Caenorhabditis elegans: one gene and its partners. The protein of the gene in region 1 purifies or fractionates together with the protein of each later gene. This does not show direct contact. Each region holds a gene or a part of one and is shown on either strand. Other genes may lie near its edges.

What was found.
Region 2: the proteins of eri-12 (region 1) and rnp-9 fractionate together in Caenorhabditis elegans (co-fractionation; one large-scale study listed by BioGRID). This does not show direct contact.
Region 3: the proteins of eri-12 (region 1) and fbxc-51 fractionate together in Caenorhabditis elegans (co-fractionation; one large-scale study listed by BioGRID). This does not show direct contact.

Annotation. Positions count from the first base shown.
Region 1 is NC_003282.8:12,157,576-12,164,778, reverse strand, and holds eri-12 (Enhanced RNAI (RNA interference)), read right to left. Parts: upstream 5,310-7,203; 5' UTR 5,300-5,309; coding exon 5,228-5,299; intron 5,181-5,227; coding exon 5,119-5,180; intron 5,074-5,118; coding exon 4,905-5,073; intron 4,849-4,904; coding exon 4,723-4,848; intron 4,232-4,722; coding exon 4,125-4,231; intron 4,077-4,124; coding exon 3,947-4,076; intron 3,225-3,946; coding exon 3,143-3,224; intron 3,093-3,142; coding exon 2,789-3,092; intron 2,713-2,788; coding exon 2,536-2,712; intron 2,486-2,535; coding exon 2,360-2,485; intron 1,966-2,359; coding exon 1,906-1,965; intron 1,858-1,905; coding exon 1,726-1,857; intron 1,198-1,725; coding exon 828-1,197; intron 780-827; coding exon 672-779; 3' UTR 510-671; downstream 1-509.
Region 2 is NC_003284.9:10,165,693-10,172,193, reverse strand, and holds rnp-9 (RRM domain-containing protein), read right to left. Parts: upstream 4,890-6,501; 5' UTR 4,741-4,889; intron 4,151-4,740; 5' UTR 4,142-4,150; coding exon 4,043-4,141; intron 3,992-4,042; coding exon 3,899-3,991; intron 3,755-3,898; coding exon 3,694-3,754; intron 3,216-3,693; coding exon 3,128-3,215; intron 2,801-3,127; coding exon 2,725-2,800; intron 2,647-2,724; coding exon 2,527-2,646; intron 2,481-2,526; coding exon 2,414-2,480; intron 1,259-2,413; coding exon 1,071-1,258; intron 1,017-1,070; coding exon 870-1,016; 3' UTR 501-869; downstream 1-500.
Region 3 is NC_003280.10:866,915-872,199, reverse strand, and holds fbxc-51 (F-box C protein), read right to left. Parts: upstream 3,387-5,285; 5' UTR 3,370-3,386; coding exon 3,302-3,369; intron 2,949-3,301; coding exon 2,563-2,948; intron 2,395-2,562; coding exon 1,497-2,394; intron 776-1,496; coding exon 601-775; 3' UTR 501-600; downstream 1-500.

The DNA.
Region 1 (7,203 bases):
CCTTGGGCAGGAAGCTGGAGCCAAATGCCGAGTGTATTTGGAACGGTTTGCACTAATTTTACAATTTTCAACAACGATCTGTTCTTGGAAAGGCTTTCAAGTTATTCTTCAAAATTGGAACAACTTTCAGCAGTATATTAAAAATTTACTCCAAATTCCAAAAAAAAAATGCAAGTTTCAAAAATTATTATCGTCAACCACAAACACCCAAATTTGTTAAAATTTCACAGATTCACTCATTCATTTCTGAATATTTTTATAAACAAAAAAATCGGCACTCACCGTTCAAAATTCAATTGAAATTCCGGTTTTAGTTTAGCTGCCAGTAAAAATTTACTCTAAATTCCAAAAAATTATTATCTTCAGCCACACTCTGAAATTGTTTTAGATACTGCAGCTTTTCTGAAAAATGTTCCATCTGCGTGACATGCTTCGTTACAAATCTGAAATAGTTTTATTCTGAATTTCTCAAGTTGTTTTTTGAAAGTTCCATATGATTTAAAGCTCTATTATTAACAATGAATTTATTATCCAGCAATGTTTTCACATTTCAGTTACAATCAATGAATGTTACAAGAATTGACAGCATCAAAATTCAGTTTCAATTAGTAAATGAAGTCATCTTTTTTCAGATAACTGGTACAGGAGTTATGTGTATCTTGCCATTTTTTTCAATTAAAGGCAAATTGTTCCAATCTTTTGGAAAGGTCGTGGTAGTTGCGTCGGAGATGCTCCAAGAGGTTAGTACTGTTAAACTCTTTTCGGAGCCAGGATCTGTTCTGAAATAGTGCAGTTAATTAGGTGGAAGCTTCAGTAGAAGGACTTACGGTACTATATAAGTTCAATTCTCTGGTTTGATTTTGCAGAGTTCTCTGGGTGTTTTGCGCAGATTGTTCCAAATTGGAGACTTTCTTTTTCAACTCAGCTTTTTCTTTTCTGTCGTTGAAAGCTGCCTCTTCCAATTTCTGATTCTTCATCTTTTCATCGTTGAGCTCAGCTTTCAATTTCTTCTGTTTCATTTTCAATTCGATCCTCTTTGCCTTGAGATTCTTCATTTCTTTTTGTGAAGCCTGATCTTCAATCCAAAGTTTGATATATTCGTTTTTAACAAATTCCAAATCTTTTGATGAGTTGATAGTGGTGATCCATAATGAACTTGACACGCTTGAATGTGTGTCGGAGTGGCAACTTGGTGATCTATAATGTCTTCCACGTTTGATAGAATAATTCAGGGGAACTGTGTCTAGTAATATTGATTTAAAATTATCTTTCTTTTTAGTAAAAAATACGATTGTCATGTGATTCGGTAACTCGGCAACTTCCGAAAATTCCGATTGCCCAACATTCACAAAAGCGGCAATTGCCAATATTACCGATTCTCAGAAAGTTTGTAAACCGGCAATTGCTAGAATTGTCGGAAATATAAATTTGTTACTTTTTGTAGAGGAGCCTAAACATGCATTTCAATAAACAATTTTCTATTTTCAAGCTCAAACTTATGCAATTTTTAAAGGATTGAATGTTTCTGTTAGAAAATGACTAACCGAATACAAAAAACAATGTGAATTTTTTTTCAATTTCCGAAATATAATTAGGTTTGAAAAATGCCGAAAATGGATTGGCAATTACGGCAATTTCGGCAATTGCCGGACTTGCCGATTGCCATCCCTAGCTCTGGGGCACCCGTAATATGGCTTTAAATTTTCCCAAACATGCATAACTCACCCTGAGCGGGGGTTCGTGTTGTTTCCAACAGGTGAAGTGTCTCTTAAGCCGTCTGTCGATGATGAATCATGGCTTTGATGCTCCAAGTTGTCGTTTGCTTCCAAGGGAGGAGTTGGGAGCCGACGAGCAGGCCTAAAAGTGGAATTGATATATTGCTTATATTATTTCTCAATAGAATACCTTTCATAATTGGCATCTGGATTCTCACGAACAATGCGGCTTTTTGAAGAGCACGCAGATCTGAAACTTAATACAAATTTCAGACAATTCAACAAACATCTAATTATTTATGCAACCAAAATAGCTTGTTAGTTTAAAGTTTCAATTCTAGAAATATCTTGAGTTATAGATATTTTCTGTTTGGTTTCAGAAACTTTGCATAATAAGAAAACAGTGAGGATGTGCGTAAACTAGGTGCAGGTTTCTGGCAACCTTTGGCATATTTTAGAAACTTCTTAAATTTAGCGGTTCTTTCAAATTTTTTGTAAGAAAAAAGTTTTCATGAATTTGTAAACAGAATAATTTTTGAGACATTGCAAAGGACCGGATTGGTAATTTAAGCGGTTTAAAATAAATTGACAATTATTCCAGAAAGTTGACATAACAGAACAAACACTCAAGTTTCTATACTAACATCGTGCTTGAAGTTTCATCATTATCAGCATTGCTTCTTTCTGGACGCTTATACTCAGCTTCTGGGTCTTCTCGGAAAACGTTTTGCATTTTTGAAGGTGCTGGTTGTGAATTTGGATTTTCTCGTCTAAAACTGGGTTAATACTATCATATTTAAGTTAAGTTGAAAATCCTCACCTTGACTCATTACTTGAAATACGTCTCGCGGGTGCTGAGATTGGAGCAGTGGTTGTCGTTCGATTTTGTTGAATCGACGGTTCAATAGGAACAGGAACCGGATCAACTCGAAGATGGGAATTCTCAAGTGGTGGAACCAAATCCATTTCTTCATTGTCCGAGAAGAATTCACTGCCGCTGGAATAGAATTAAAGTTGGAAAAAAAATAGAAAATGTTGTGTACATAGAGATTGAATTGAATAAAAAGACTCACTGATCCTGATTATTAAAGTTGGGGAGAAAATTGATTCTTGGCCCGGTTTCGATTTTTCTTGACAAGTTTTGAATTTGTGTGACTTGTTTTCGGGATGACCCCTCTCTTGGAAGAGAAGACTGCTTCTTGAGAATTCTTTTTGGAGGATCGAGTGCTTCTTTTTGATCTCTTGTGAGCGTGGGGTTCACGTTGAAACTCGTTTGAAATTGTCCAAGAATCAGCGAGGGCTTCTTGCTGACACCTTCCATTGAAACCTTGACATAGATTAGAACATTTTCAAAATCCGAGAGAACTCCATAATCAGCTGAAATTTAAATTTTCTTCGAAAAATGTGTCTTTTGATGAATATCTTACCTAATCTGTTATCCTTATCGATAACCTTTTCAAAATGATGTGATTGGATGATTCCATCTTTGCGGGAACATTTGATGGCAATCTGAATGAAATTCATAAACGTTTTGCGGTTTATACTTAATAATGAATTAAAAATTTGGGGTTTTTTCAAATGTTCTATTCGTCAAAATTAGTTAAATGATATCATTATATGTACATTGATTCACGCCAAAATGCAGATAGGTTTCAGGCAGGAGTCAGACCCTGAAACTGCGCATATCTACCATGGAAGACCTATTCCATTCTGATATTTATGAATAATATTAAATAGTAAGGTAGGCCTTCCATGTAGGCAGAGAAGCCTGCTTAGACATACAAGCGTGCCTGCTGCCGAAGTGAACCTACAAACACCGGATATCACTCCAAAATGCGGAAAATAGGCGCAAAGCAGGCTCATAGAAAACATGCCTAGGAGTATACAGAAAAAAATTAATTCAGAAAATCCAAAAAGCCATGATACGAGAGGGGTTTACTTGGATATTTTCTTAAATACTACAAACTTTAAACAGAACAAAGAACAGACTTTGAGCTTATAAAAATAACTTTAGGAATACATATACCCTTTTTCGTGTTTCCACATCATGTACAGTATCAGATTAAGCCCCGCCCACTTACTGGCTTTTTGCATCACTTTTTCTTACTAAATTTTTCAATAGTTTTTTATCTTTTTGTTCTCAATGGCTTTAGCTTTCAAAAGATTTAGATTTGGAAAAATCATTATCGGATAAAGCTTAATTAAATTTTTTGTCAATATTATTCACTCACTTCTCTATTCCTGTTGGTATCTAATAGATCCTTTTCCAGGAATTGAAATCCTTCCGATTTCTTCACAGAAGCTGTCGCCGTACAGGCTAAGAACTTGACCCATGTGCCTTCTTCTGATCGGCTGAAGTTACTGAAATATTGATGATTGGTAGAGATCCCAAAAGTCTGCACAACTAACGTTTCCTTCGATATTACAAACGGTTCAGGATATCCTGGAACATAGACATATGCATCACTGAAATCAGTGTAGTAAATCTGGCCAATTAATGAATACGTCTTCTCTTTCTGAAACAATTAAGTTGTTATAATGTTATAAGATATAAGATTTCCTAATAAAACATAAAAAACCAGATATTTGATCGAGGTGCCACGAGGGCGTATCTTCAATCACCCTCTTCGCACCCTATCGGTCATGGTTAATGTATAATAAAACACACTCCAAAAAGTATTAGATTTTTCAAAATTTTTTATCAAAATTTTTGTTATTGTTGTAGGTTTAAACACAGAGAATTTAAATACAAACCTTTAAAACGCAATTAAAATTTTAAACTCGTAATAAAATATTTGTATGGTTGAATTTCAAATTTTTGAGTGGTGAAAACTAAAGTAAGTTCTCAAACATTTTGACTTACCAAAAAATAATTTTCAAAAACTTTTTTTAAATTTTAGCCCTATGTAGTAGTGGTTTTGAATAATTTAGCCCCTAGCGAAACTAGATTGCGAGAGAGGGTCGGGCTTACATCTTACCTCTTTGGAAAATCTATCAAAAAACTTACGGGTTCTTCGAATTCATCAAGTTCCCACACAATTGAGTTTTTCTGGTGGGTCAGTTTGACTGTAATCTGCCTTCCGAAAAATGCGTTTTTCGGAAGATACTTGAATTTCTCTCCTTCTCGAACTTGCTGAAAATTGAAAGTTTCATAATAACTGACAACCTGGGCATTCTGGAAATTCTTACCGTAATGAAGTCAGTTCTAAAAACTCTTTGCTGAGATTTGGTGAAGTCGTAAAACCCCAAAATCTTCAATCTGAGCCTCAATGATTGATCTTGCTCATACACAACGGATTCAACAATCTGGTTCCGTGGTTTGATGTCAGAGGCACGTTTCAAATTGTTGGCGATGTCCCTGAAAATAAAATATAAAGAAAGTCATTATATTTCAAAAACTTACCAAGTCGTGAAGGAAACCGAATCGCCCAACTTTGTATTTTGGTCTGGATCTGCCACGAATATCTGGGAAAAAATAAGTTTTAAATTTTTTAAAAATAGAAAAAACTCACATCATGACTTGAAGAAATGAGAATATGGGTCTCATCACTTTGCACGACAATTCCAGACTTTTGCGACGACATGACGGTGACACTGAAATAAAAAATGTAATTGTTTTGTTTTTTCGAATTCGTTTATCTGAATTACAGGTGCCAAAAAATGTATACGTTTACTAATTGACAGATTCTCCCATTCTAAGTTTTTTGATATGAAAACGGCGAGAAATGATGGAAACGAAATGATACAGAACATAGCAGAGCTTTACATTTGTGCTTCTGGGTGTAATCTTAAAAACGAGTAGGCATATATTAAGTTAATGATACATGGAAGAAAATAGTTGAAACCCTATTTTGGTGCAATCAACGAAAAAGTCAAATATATAGTTTTTTGGAAAATGGTCCCCAATTCAATTTTTACAGCTTCACATGAACAACCGAAATATAAACCGCTAAAGTTGAGCGAAGAAGGTCAGAACAAACATACCTACGTGCCTGCCTACTAACTATTCGTTCGAATTTTGGCACGCAGATTGATAAAAGGGTGAAGAGCCTCATAAATGTTCTAGGGGGTTTTTATTATACAGTTGGAAGAAGAGAAACAACACAACTGAAAACAACACTCATGTGGAAGTTAGATATGCACAAGGTGTGCCTTTCAGAATTTCGCTGAAAATTTCAAAAAATACTAAGTCAATACAAAAATCCTATTGATTTGTGTCCGGTTAGCATCAAATGTCAAAAACTGCAACTATAATTTTTCAGATATACTCTAAAATAGTTTCAATTCATATTGGCAAGTAAATAGCATTAAACTATTTGAAAAAAGTTTAGCTAGATGTGTGAAAACCGTAGATCAAAACATTTCTATAGTTTTTGAAATGATAACGTAATTTTAAAGTATTTTCGCTTGAGGTCAGATCTTGAAATTTTTCACAAACTTTCATTGAAATTTTAAATTTTTTTAAGTTAAAATTTCTTTCGTAGCGAAGTCGGTATTGAAACCGATATACCTGCCCACTGCAGTGTAGATTCACAAATCAATTAGTTAATTGAAAACTCAAATAACATGTGCGCTTTGTCAGTGAGCGTATGAGGCAGGAATAATTGTTCTTAAAATAGCTTATATTAAATATCATACATGAGTAATAAATTCACTTAATTCTGGCAGAATTGAGCAACAATCGTTTTACAAAAAGTTTGGAAATAAATTCCGAGAAATTGACTTGTTTGAAAAATGGAACACCAGAGGCTTCAAATGCGAAATAAACAAACGAAAGAAAGAGAAATCGCAACACAATTTTTTTCCAGAGCGGGGGGAAACATAAATGTTATAGCTTTCGAAACAGTGGCAGCAACAACCACGTTATGGCTTCGAATTGCCAATATCGTATGTTCTGCTAACAAAAATCGATAAACTTGGAAGAAGAGGTAGAGAGAGAGAGAGATGCGGACAGCAGATGGCAACAAAAGGAGGGCAAGAGGACTATCGGTAATGTCAAGAGGCATAGAGTGTGGAGATAGAGGGGGGCAATAAACAACAGTAAAATGAGTGATCCGCTAATATGTTTGGTTTGTTTTGCTGTACAATGATGAAGATAATGACAACATACTACGTCAAAAGGTTCGCTATAAAACAAAATCATTTAGAACGAAGCTACACCCATATACTGGCTTTTGGGATGGAACCAAAAAATAATTTTGGACCAAAAAACCAAAAATTGAAATTTTTGAAAAACCAAAAATGTTTGTTGCCCGAGTTTATTTTTAATGGGGATGTTGCAAAATGTATTAAAATACACAACTGTAAAAACTGTATAAAATACATGTTTTTATGAATTTTAATTCAGAATAGTCTCGAGTCGAGACTCGACACGGCACTCTGTTTTTTTTTCGGATTTTTTAATTTTTTTGGTCCCAAAAAAAAACTTAAAAGTTTCAGCCCTAAGCCCTACCACCTACTGCATTTGTGTCATAAGTGAGACATACAT
Region 2 (6,501 bases), on another chromosome or scaffold:
GATTTGTGAAATCAGTATGCTGTATAGTTAAGATACAGTCACTTTATATCTGATAGTTGGTAGCAGACATACAGACTCTTATGACGCATGAAATAATGGGTGGGCCCCTAGAAGGACATTGTACTTTGAAAATTTAATTTCAATTTTATTCGACAATGCAAAGTATCAGGTTTTTGGTTTTTGGAATACCACTTTGCTGACCCTAACAAAAATGAGTGTAGGTGGACACATTATTCAAATCATGAGATCACCGGAAAACATCTTGAAAGTGCAGACACGTGTAAAATGAACAATAGTTTTGAAACTTTTTCTTAGTAATTTGGAATTGAAATTTTCTGAAAAAAAAATTTCGCAAATAATCTAAAAGTGTTGTCAAGCAGATAAATTGTTACGTGAACATTCTTAGTCATGATGATTTGAAACATTAATAGCATAATGCTTTAGTTCTCTCTATGTTTCTCTATCCTTCCCACACATACACAGCTTTTGAACTTTCATTCAATTATCCCATTGTAATAATTTATTAAAATCCCTTTGCACAAACAAAAATGATTATCATTCTGTGAAAAATGTGAAAATATGAATAGCAGGAAAATGACAGAAAAGAAGTAAAAAGAACCACTCAGGAAACATCAGACGGGAAGAAAAGTTAAAAATGAACAAGAAAAAATGTACTCGGACCTCTATTTGTAGGAAGAAAACTGTGATGGAAAATGAAACACCGGAAACTCGAAAAAAGAAAAAAAAACATTGAATCACTCACAAAAAAGCGGAAATTTAAATATTTTGAAATTTGAAAAAGTAACCGTGTTCTGACTCATTATTCCTTTTGCGTTTCATTTTCTTCCTAAAGAGTCTTAATAAATTAATCACCATTGTGGGAAGGAACTGTACAAAAGAGTGGCTGGCTCGTAGTTCAAGAAGGGATTTTGAATTAGTGGGATTGTAGTTGGAAGCATTGTAGGCATCATCAAGGATGACAAATCAATTGGGAGAGGATTTAATGCTTGATTAGGCTGCAAATTAAATACTGTGATTTTCAAAGCATTTGATAACTGATTATTTATTACCACTGCCTGAGTTCTTCCCCAGGAACATCTGACTTGATTTCCAGCCATCTCCTTTCCATTCATCTCCATTATTGCTTTTGTGGCACACTCTTTTTTCTCATATCTGACGAACGCGTACCTTTGGGTTTTGAAAATACGCACTTCCGCTATATCACCATATGTTGAGAATAAATCGCGGAGATCAGCGTCTATAAAAATATGTACATAGATATAACATATGGCAGTGATAGGATAAAAGGCAGAAAGTCATTTATCAAATTTCATGGGACGTTCTCACTGTCTACCAGGCGGAAGTGTCAAGCAGTAGGATGTGATGAGGAAAAATGATGATAGCCTCATATCCGTTAGAAAGTTTGTTAATGAGATAAAGACATGGAACTGGTTTACTCTGTTAATAAACTATGGGAAAGTTACCGAATAAGGCCATTCGAGAAATTGAAATGATCTTTTAATGGTTTTATGTTTTGTCAACAACTACAGTGTCTTAATTTGATTGTAAACATTAAAAAATGCCTGCAAAAATACCATTTTAACCAGTACAAGTAAAATGTATCAGATAGAGCATTAACTTTTTAAAACTATTGCTATTAATTTGTTCAAAGATGTATCATAGATGTGCATTGCGAAATTAGCAAAATTAAAATTACAACGCCTGTCAACTTACTTCTTAAAAATCAGTTTGTATTATCCAAATGCTCAATAACACTAGTTTACTTTAAAAAATTAAATTTCACGGAAAACCTATATCAAAAATATTAGTATGATTTGGAAAAATTCTAAAAAAAATAAACGTTTCAATTAAGTTTCCAATATTATTTGTCAAATAAAATTTATAACAATTATAAACTTCGATGTTTCACTGCGGAGTAGAGCCAATGGGGAAATTGCTTTGAAACATGCATATGGAACCACAATGACGAAATATTTCAGTAAAAGTATTTTTTTTAATTTGTAAAATTACTTTTTTCGTTTGATTGCGTAGTTTTCTATAAAAGTGCGTAGTTTTCTATAAAAGTGACTTAAAGCGATCGCGAACTGCCAATAAAAAATTTTCAAAACAATTTTTGGAAAGTTTTACTATTTTTTTGGCCATAATATTTGGCCATTTAGTCCCCATGGAACTGGTTTTTAGCAATTTACCCACTAGCGCTACTACAACTTTCACCATTGGTTACCGGAGCAGTATACGGTCTCTCTATTAATGCAAATTTCCCAATTCTTTAAATTTCAGAAGAAACTATAGATGTAATTCTAAAGATTGTTTTCTTTATTTCAAAAACTTAAACTCTATTTATTTCCTTTTTAATGACTGATATGAAGTACACTGTCTACCTATAACTAACCTGTAGTCTGTTGACTTATGTTCCCAACATAAACTGACGTGTTATCGGCTTTCGTTGAGTTGAACACCTGGAGCTGTCATGTTTTATTGAGATTTAACGTTACAACATCTCACCTGTTCAAAAGTCAGCTTGTCGCGATTCTCCTCGCTGTTTTTTCGTGCCGCCCAGTTGGTCCGCACAGCTCGTTTCCCAATCCATTTTCCGTTCATTCCGGCTATCGCGTTCTCTGCATTCTAAAAACAAGGCTCAGTTTTCTCGACGAAAATAAATAGGACCAATGGGCTTCGTAAAAAAAACAGAGAGAAACTAACTTGTTTGTTGGGAAATGACACAAATCCGTATCCTTTTGATTTCTGAGTCTGAACATCTCGAATCACTTTAGCTTCACTGAAAAAAATACTTCCGCGGTATAAATGTCAAGATTGGGTAAAAAATCTAACAATGGTTGGAGAATATTGCTTTCAGTTTTGCTCAATATTTTGTCATAAAATTTATTAAATTTCGGTTTGGGAATGATGATATTTTTTTGCCAAGTACGGTTTCGATATACTCTTTTAAAAATTTTTATGGAAAATTGCTAGTTACTCAAAAAAATAAGTTATGTAAGTTTTTTTAAATCCAAATGACGAGGGTGTTGTTTGTTTTTTGATTCGAACTCTTTTGTATAGTGTTAACGTGTTCAAGCAAAATTAAGTATTTTATCCTCAAATTTACCTGACTTCTCCGAATTTTGTAAACGTTGATTTTAAAAGCTCATTGCTCACGTCCTTGCTCAAATCCCCGACAAAAACATGAAAATGCTCTGAAAAGAAGCAAAGAAATGATATTGCATTGCTAATCTTCTTCTTTTTTAGTGCTGGCACGCATGGTTTCATTTCATCTCATCTTGGTCGTCAGTTTCATATTTTCCAATTCTTGACCACGGAACATAAAAAACGATAAAAAACGTGTGACTTTCAAGAAAAACGGTTAGCAGCTATGAGGCTAAACAACCTCGAATTGTCTGATAAGGGTGATAAGAACAACCAAAGAATACAATAACACCCAGAACGGTTTTGAAAAAAAAAAGTGAATCCGTCTGTGTGATTGATAAGGTCAATCAAATGACTTATCTTTATCTTCTTTTTTTGGTCTCATATTTTTTCACAGCTATTTTGACTTATGACCTGACACCAATACGGCGCCAGAAAAGTAATTGAAAAATAAAGATTGATAGGATCTTTGATTCAAACAAATTCATTTTTCACACTTTTCATCCAAATCTGCAAATCTACACTCACTGCTTGTATCAATTCGCATCTCCATCGGCGGCTCCGAGGCTGAGTGCAACACGGCTGATTCCTGCAACACAATTGCATTTGCCAAATGAGAATCCGTACTAGTTGAATGTATTTCGATCGGACAAAAAGATTGGCGCGAGAGGAAAGGGTAACTAAAGGGGGAAAGAAGGGTGCGAAATAAGCGGAAATGGGCAAATGAACAAACCAAAGAGTGTGGAAGACCGATGTGTGACAAAGAAGGAAGGCTGGCGGTCTGGAGAAGCAGAGGACATGTGTCCAAGGATTGAATCGACTGTGTCTGAACACAGGTATATGAATTATTGAGTTGCACAATATCCGATCAACCTACGTCTAATAAACCTGCCGGGAACTGCGAGTATAGGTTTTTCATAGGCATTTGTTGAGAGTAAAGCAAGGATGTCTGAGGAGTCGCAGTTGGTAAGCACATGAGTGCTTTCTGCAAGGACTGTTTTAAACATTTCTGTGTTTTGACAAAGTTCAATTTTTCAGAAAGAATCAATATGAAAGACTAATCTAGAAAGAATAATCTCAAAATTGCACGTGATTGCTTCTAAAAAATCGTTCGAAACATATCAGTTAACCTGTGAATTCAGACAATATGTAATAAAACTTAGTTTTGGGAAGCTTGTTTTAACTAAAAGTGTTGTTTTTTCTCTGCTTAACATTTGGAAAAGCAACAACTTAAATATTTCTGACAACTTGAGAAAATCAATTGTTGAACATACTTAACAACGTTCACGTCACTATTTCTACAGAAACCAGATGCATTATCCATTTGTATTTATTTAGAATTGTAAACCACCTTTCTTTTTTATGATTGATCAGATTGTGTTCCTTTTCTTTGCCAGGAAAATTACTGACGGGAATGTGGCAATTAAAAAATCTATTGCAAATTTGCATTACCTATTATGAGCAAAAAAAGGGAATAACAATTACATGGCTTATTACAAGCACATGCTAATGTTCTTGTACTGCCCTCGGTTTTAGTACCAACGAATTGCTTTCAATTTCTAAAAAGTCACCTACCTTCGCCTGCTGAGCCGAACCATATTCGGCTTCGTGTACGGAGATGAGGTCCTGTGATCGTTTCAGCTTGAATTGTGTACTAACACCACTGTGGTGTTCCAGGACTTGTTTAAATGTGAGAAGAATGCAAATGTTCCTGGAAAAACGCTGTGAATCGGATTAGCATTCCCATTGAAAAATAAGAGCAAAAACAGAGCCAAGAGATTTGTTTTCAAATCCCTCGCGAAACTAACAAGGTAACTAAACTGTGATAATGGATTATCGATAAATGGAAAAATGTGGCAAGGAATATAACCGGAAAATGAGTCAAAAAATAAAAAAGTAGAAGGAGGAAGAAGGTGCAATATTCATTTTTCATGGCCGAGCATCTTCTTGTAGCAGAGTGATGTGCTCCGCCTTGTCCCAAGGGGAATTGGGTGGAGAACTAATTAAGAAAGTCGAAAACAATAGAATATATTGAGGTGTAGACTATGTCGGAAACAAGAAAAATGCGAATAAGAGGATGGAAAGGAAGGGAAGGAAAAAATGTGCAACAAACTTGGGAGCTAAGACCGGACTCCACATTTAACCCATCCAGTGTTGTTTCTCACGATGGGCTCAAGAGCGGAACGTCGTTTCATTCTTGTGATTTTACCATCCATTCCCACCAGATTTGAGATTTACCGAGTGCCCACCCCTTGTGACCTCCTTTTATTCTTCTCATCTAGCTTGAGCACCTTTCCTTTCCTTTGACTTTTTTATACGTTGTCATTCTTCATGTAAGAGAGCTCAGGATTCTTCCATTTTCATTTTCCTATTCATCTAGTAGTAGTCCATTAGTCTCACTCGAAAAATGAGCAACGAATGCACTAGAGGGTTCGTGTGGCTGAATAGCGGTAATACGCAAAATGGAATAAACAAATGATATTTGAGAGAGGCATGGGCCCCATAAAAAAAGGCGGAAAATGTCTTCAACTGTGAGAATAGGGTCTCGCACCAAATCGAGACACCTAAATTCATAGATTCATGCATCTGAAAGAGCTTTTAGCAGAAGGCAAAAAAAATAGACAACGGTGGACACGAACAAAGAATGTTTTAATGCTTGTGAATAGGGAGGAATAGACAGTGTGCACGGAGTCAGCCGAGAGGAAATAAAAATGTTCCTTTTTTGAACAATAACAATCAGATTCGTATTGGAAAGGAAGACGAACAACAAATCGATACAACCACCAGTTTATTAGGTGAAGAACATTACAAATAGGAGAAAAAGAGTTTCACAGTGACAGACGTGAAGACCGTAATTTTTCGAATCGCTTAAGCTTAATAGTAGTTAAAAGCAGGTAGCTAAAAATGTTAGTCCATTGACTTTTTCAAAGATAAAAACTTTAGCGCAAATGAAGCACGTTTCTTGTTAATGTGTTTTCAGGATTAAAATGTTAAACAAGAATATCAACTTCAAAATCGATTTGTAATCAATAAAGTTTACAATTATAATATTTTATTCTTATATCAAAACTTCAGGAAATGATACTTCAAGATTGAAAATCCGCCTTGATGGCGTATTCCAAAAAGGGAATAGATTTTTGGGAAACGAGCGGCATTTTTGTCACGAAGATCAATGATTAAAAACAATAAGATGACTCAATCTGTAAACGACCAACATTTTCTGATTTGTATAAATTACATACAAACAAAAAAATTAATTATTAAAATTACTTGAATCAAATGTATCCTTAAATGGTTGAACATTCTGAAGCAGTATGTATTTGTGTACTATATCCT
Region 3 (5,285 bases), on another chromosome or scaffold:
TTCTTCTAAGTAGACATGTGCATGAAGTCAGTGGTGCAGTGAGCCCGAAAGATCCTGATCGCCAATGTTATATATTCGAGGCCGAACAAGGAGGCGAAGACGAGTAGTTTATTATTACATAACTAAGGAATAAATAGAAAGTTAGTATACATAGATAATGAGTTCACGTTACACGATCTTCATATCCACGTTAAGGGTAAGGTACACGTAGATACCCAACATTTTTTATTAGCTTTGATGCTTTTGGAGATATTTAAGTTTTAAAATTGATAAAAATCAGGTAACCTGTCCCTACTTAGAGCTATCATAACTATGCTCAAAGTTGAGCTACAAAAAATTTGTAAATTAACAACTTATAGAACAATTTGCGTAGATTATTTTGTTAATTGACAATCTTTTGCTAACTTTTGTAGATTTACAGATATTCAGATTTTAAAATATACCACCTTCGTTGAGCCGGTAACTAGCAAAATATAGAAAAATTTAGGAACATTTTTAGTACCAAAAAAACATTTTATTAAAATCCACGCAACAAATTTCAGATTATCAAAAACACGACAACAAGACATAATTGAAAAAAAAAATTAGCAAATTGAAAAATCAGTCCTCCAATGGTAAAGCGCTTCCAATTGGCATCACTTCGAAGACCAGGCACCAACTGACATGTGGCATAAACTCCAAAGGGTCCAAGTTTTCAGTTCTCTTCTTACCGTAGACATTAAGCTCGGATTCATAGGTCAGCGGGATGTTGAAGCAGTGAGGGAATTCGGTGCAGCTGGAAAAAAAGGAAAATTTGGGAAGAGTCCAACTTTGGAAGTTTATAAACTAGTATGTACATTAGATAATTTTAGAATATTTAATAAAAAATTATAGTGAAAGTAATATTTATTATTTTGCCAGTAAACAATTTTCCATCAAGATATAAGCCTCCATAGTTGAGGTGTAATGCTAAACTTCAAAAAAAAATTTTTGCATAAAATCGAACCTGCGCGCCGCAGAACAGGTTCTGCCACAGAAAAATTTGAAATTGTAAGTCAGAATTTTTGCAACGCATTTGCAACACGAAAGTTTTTGTAAAAGTTGTTAGAAATTTGAGTTTTAGTTTTTGGATAATTTTGCAAAAAAAAAACAACTAATTTCGAAAGAGCATAACTCAAAAACCCAACTACTTTCATAAAATTGCTCAACTGCAAAACCGTTGCAAATAATAGCATCTACAATCTTGTAGTTGACAACTTTCCACTAGCTCTACCAGGAGAAAAGTTACAGCGGCCGACACTTCACGGGCTTTTGAAAAGTTCGAAAAAGCACAAGTGAGGTAGTTTGTATCTATTTAAAGAGCCTCAAACTCAAATTTCGATGTATTACATATCAGTGCAATGTTCAAATAAAAACTAAATGAAGATTTTTTGTCGACTTTTCCCTAAAAACATGGTGCATCGGAGCTCCAAATTTCCAGCTGGTGCATCGATGCATCCTGAATTTTGCGAACTTACTCTACTCCCTCCATCCTCTTGCTCACAACCATCGGATGATCCCCGAGCAAGTTCAATGTGGATTGGGTGGCGTGATACTGCTTAACACCAAACGTAAAGCAGGTCCCAATACTCTTCGGTGTCTCGATCCAATTATCAATCAGCTGCACATAGTCATGATGGAACAGTGGACTATGAAGCATGTAGACATTCTTCTGTGGAAGCTTCAGTAGGAAAGGGATCCAGGCAAAGTTCTCCCCAAACATTTTCTCAGTTCCGATAACCAGACGCTGGGTGGCATGGATAACTGGGTGGTCGTGCTCTAGAGGCATATGCAAGCTCTTGAAAGGCAGAGTGCTCTCGTGGAAAATACTGTTCAGACCATCCCAAAGCAGTCCGAACTCCGTACCAAATCTCATATTGGAAACTTTCACTTTAAAATTCTCGGGGAGTCGGTAGACCCCACCTGCATCACCAAGCTCCAGGGTCTTTATCACAATTGGGTGAGCTCTTTTTCCGAACAACTTCTCTGTGATATACTTCATCGCATCATACATTTTCTTGTTATAATCCAGATACTCAATGATCCCATGGAAAGTCTCCCTGTCCCGCCTGAAGTCTAAGTTCATCCTTTGGAATCTGATGCCAAATCTGTATGGAGCTGGTTCATTTTCCTCTCGCCAGCTGTATGGATTCGTGTATGCTTCGAGTTGGTCGGTGACTGCTGGATCTATGTCTGGCTCGTCTTCGGATTCAGATGCTTCGGATTCTGAAGATGAATAGCGTGCTCTTGGGAGGTAAGCGTCGCCGAGGATACGCCGGATCTGAGCTTCCTGGGGGTCATCGTCTTCATCATCTGATCCTTCTGCTGGAAGATCTTCTGCTTCATCCTCATCATCTTCGGAAGAGCTTTCAGGGTCTGAAAAATATATTTTTGAGATTTTCCGAAACAAAAATTGGCCGCCGAAACACTTTAAGCTATCATATTTCAGCTAGAAATCAAGCTATCACAAATTTGTCAACTGAGATAGTGCTCTAAATTTTCTTAAACAGCAGCCGACATATCACTGGACTCCTTATCACCTACCTTCCCTCTGCTGCACCTGCATCCGCCCCTGTGGTCTTATAAAATCCCGCATTGCAAATTGCAACATCTCCATTGTCATATCCTCCATATTATTAATTTTTTCCTTGCTTTCAACTTTCAAATCTCCAGGGCTCAAAACCTCATTGCAGCGGGGATCCTTAAGCCCATACTGATCCATATCATAGGCAGCACCTCCATCTAAGTTCACATTGTTGATATATGGACTATAGTAGACATGGTCTTTCGGTAGGTGGCGGAGCAGTCCTAACGTGTACCTATGTCGGTTGATTCGGATGACACGGGGATTCATGTAGAGCTTGTAGATGTGGAGGGGAGCAGCTTTGTCGGCTGCTTTTAGGGAGTCACATCGTTCCACTAATTTAAATCTGGAATATTTTAAGTAGGTTGATAGGTGTTTAAAAGTAAAAATAATATTGGTAGCTGCCCCACTTCTAGGAACGGCTCAAAATTTGAGCAAAACATGGTTCATCGACAGAAAATTGCTTAAGTTATTATACTTCTACCGAAGCCCGTTTTAATAAATTTTTACACAAAGAAAATTGAATTTTGAGCTGTTAAAGTTGAGGAAAACATGATGCATCGACTGTAAATTTATCAACTTTTGCTCTGAAAAAGTAACCTACTAAAATATATTCCAAACTCTTTTTAAACTTTAATAGCTTTTCAAAAACTTTTTTCAGCTCTACAATCAGAATTCCAAAAAAAAATAAAAGCATACCTCCTATTAGCTTCAAAGAACTGTAGTACACATTTCTGGCACTCATATGGGAGTGGTGTTAAGCTCATATGTAGGTATTTATTACCTGTAAAAAAGTGGGAAATTGGTGCGAAAAGTGAGAAAAACGTTGAAAGAAACGAGAAAATTGTGAAAAACTGACAAAAAATGACTATGATCTAGTAAACAAATTTCCAAAAAGTAGTAAAGCTGCATTCGAAAGTAGTAAAATATTGCCAGAGTGTAGCCAAAAATAGCAAAATTTCAACGAAAATATAAAAAAATAGTCGAAAAATAGCTAGAAATAGTCCAAAAATTGTCAGAAATCGGACAAAACAGCCAAAAAATAGTTCAAAACTTGTGGAAAATACCCAATAATTGTCCGTCTTCCCCCTATTACATACCCCCGTTGGAGAGGCAATAGGGACCATTAGACTACCCTAAATAACTAGGTGACCTCTGTCCATCTGTCGCAGACGGGGCGGGAATGTTTATCTCTGTTGACCTTGAGCATCGGTCCTCTATAGAGAGCCTACACGTACCCGGACTACTTGATGTGAATGGAGAATTAGAATAAAAGAGATTCTATAGATTTTTTTTGTGAAAAATTAGTTCAAAAGCTCATAACTCCGCTGAAAATTGAGCTATTGAAAAGTTGTCAACTACAAAAATATTTCAAATTAATTTTCAAACATTTTGTTGGTGGAAAACTTTTTGCTAGCTCAACTTTCAGCTGAGTTATGATATTTTTAAGTTGGTATTTGAAAAATTTTCATGTGAAAAATCAATTGAGGCTTCTATTTGACAAACTATTTTAGGGTAGAGGGGGGCAAGAATCATGCTGGTTTGGACCAAATCTGACCTTGATACTAATATGTTGTTTACAACATTTGCCGTGTTTGCAAAAAAAAAACAGGCAGAAAATTAACTTTACGCTGGAAAATTGGTAGATATTGGGTCGCCAAAAATGCGAAAAAAAGAATGAAAATTGATCTTCAGTGCCCTTTTATTCGGGTTTATCATGGTGCATTAGCACAGGCTTCCATTTCAAAATTGGCCACATCCATTGAGATGTCGGATGCTGACTTTAATATCAACTTTGTTTGCAGCCGACACTTTCCCGGTTCCTTTCAAAATGTCGAAACAGTAGAAGACATCTCACAAGATTTTTCAAGCTTGTATTAACAAAAAATCAACCAAGAACCGCAGCCGACATTTCCGGGCTTTCAAGTGTTCCTATATTAAATCCGTAAATTGCACACTTGACAGAAATAAAAAATAAGGGCACGTTTTCGACATGAGGTGTCCCGAGAAATGTGACTGCACTTTGAGAACTTATATCTTAGCTTAGGATTGGCGTTTTTTTTTGAGCAATTTGTTTCAATAGCTCCAATCATATTGAGGACCGCACTTTTTGAACATTATGGCCACTTTTAACCTCAGCAGGACAGGCCAAATGCTATTTCATTTCACTCAAATCCAAAAATCAGGGATAAGGGCTGCCTGCTTACTCTTAGAAACTTTAGGCTTTTTCTATCCCTACTTCCAGCAGAGCAGGCTGGAGGACTTTTATGAGACTACGTCTGTATTTGAAAAGATCAGTTAATTCGGATTGAGGGCTGCAGGCCCAAATACACATAGAAGTATTGGACAATCTTTAAGCCTACTCTGAGCCCAATAATCCAGGTTGAGGGCCGCAGGCCCGAATACACGGATAGAAAAGACCCAGAAATAATATTATCTCAAATGACCATGGCTCAATCAGTTTTCATTCAAAATGATCAAAATTTTCCCGAGTTTTCCAACTTAAACTACTGCGAAGCCTAGCGCGCTTGACGCGCTAGTCAACAGCGTGGAAAATGCGTCTATCGGTCATTGAGACATGGAACTAGTACGGAAATTCAAAAAAAAATTAATTAAAAATTTAAAAGAACACGTTTCCACGTTTTAACAGTATAAAAGAGAGAAATATTCGAATATTTGATCT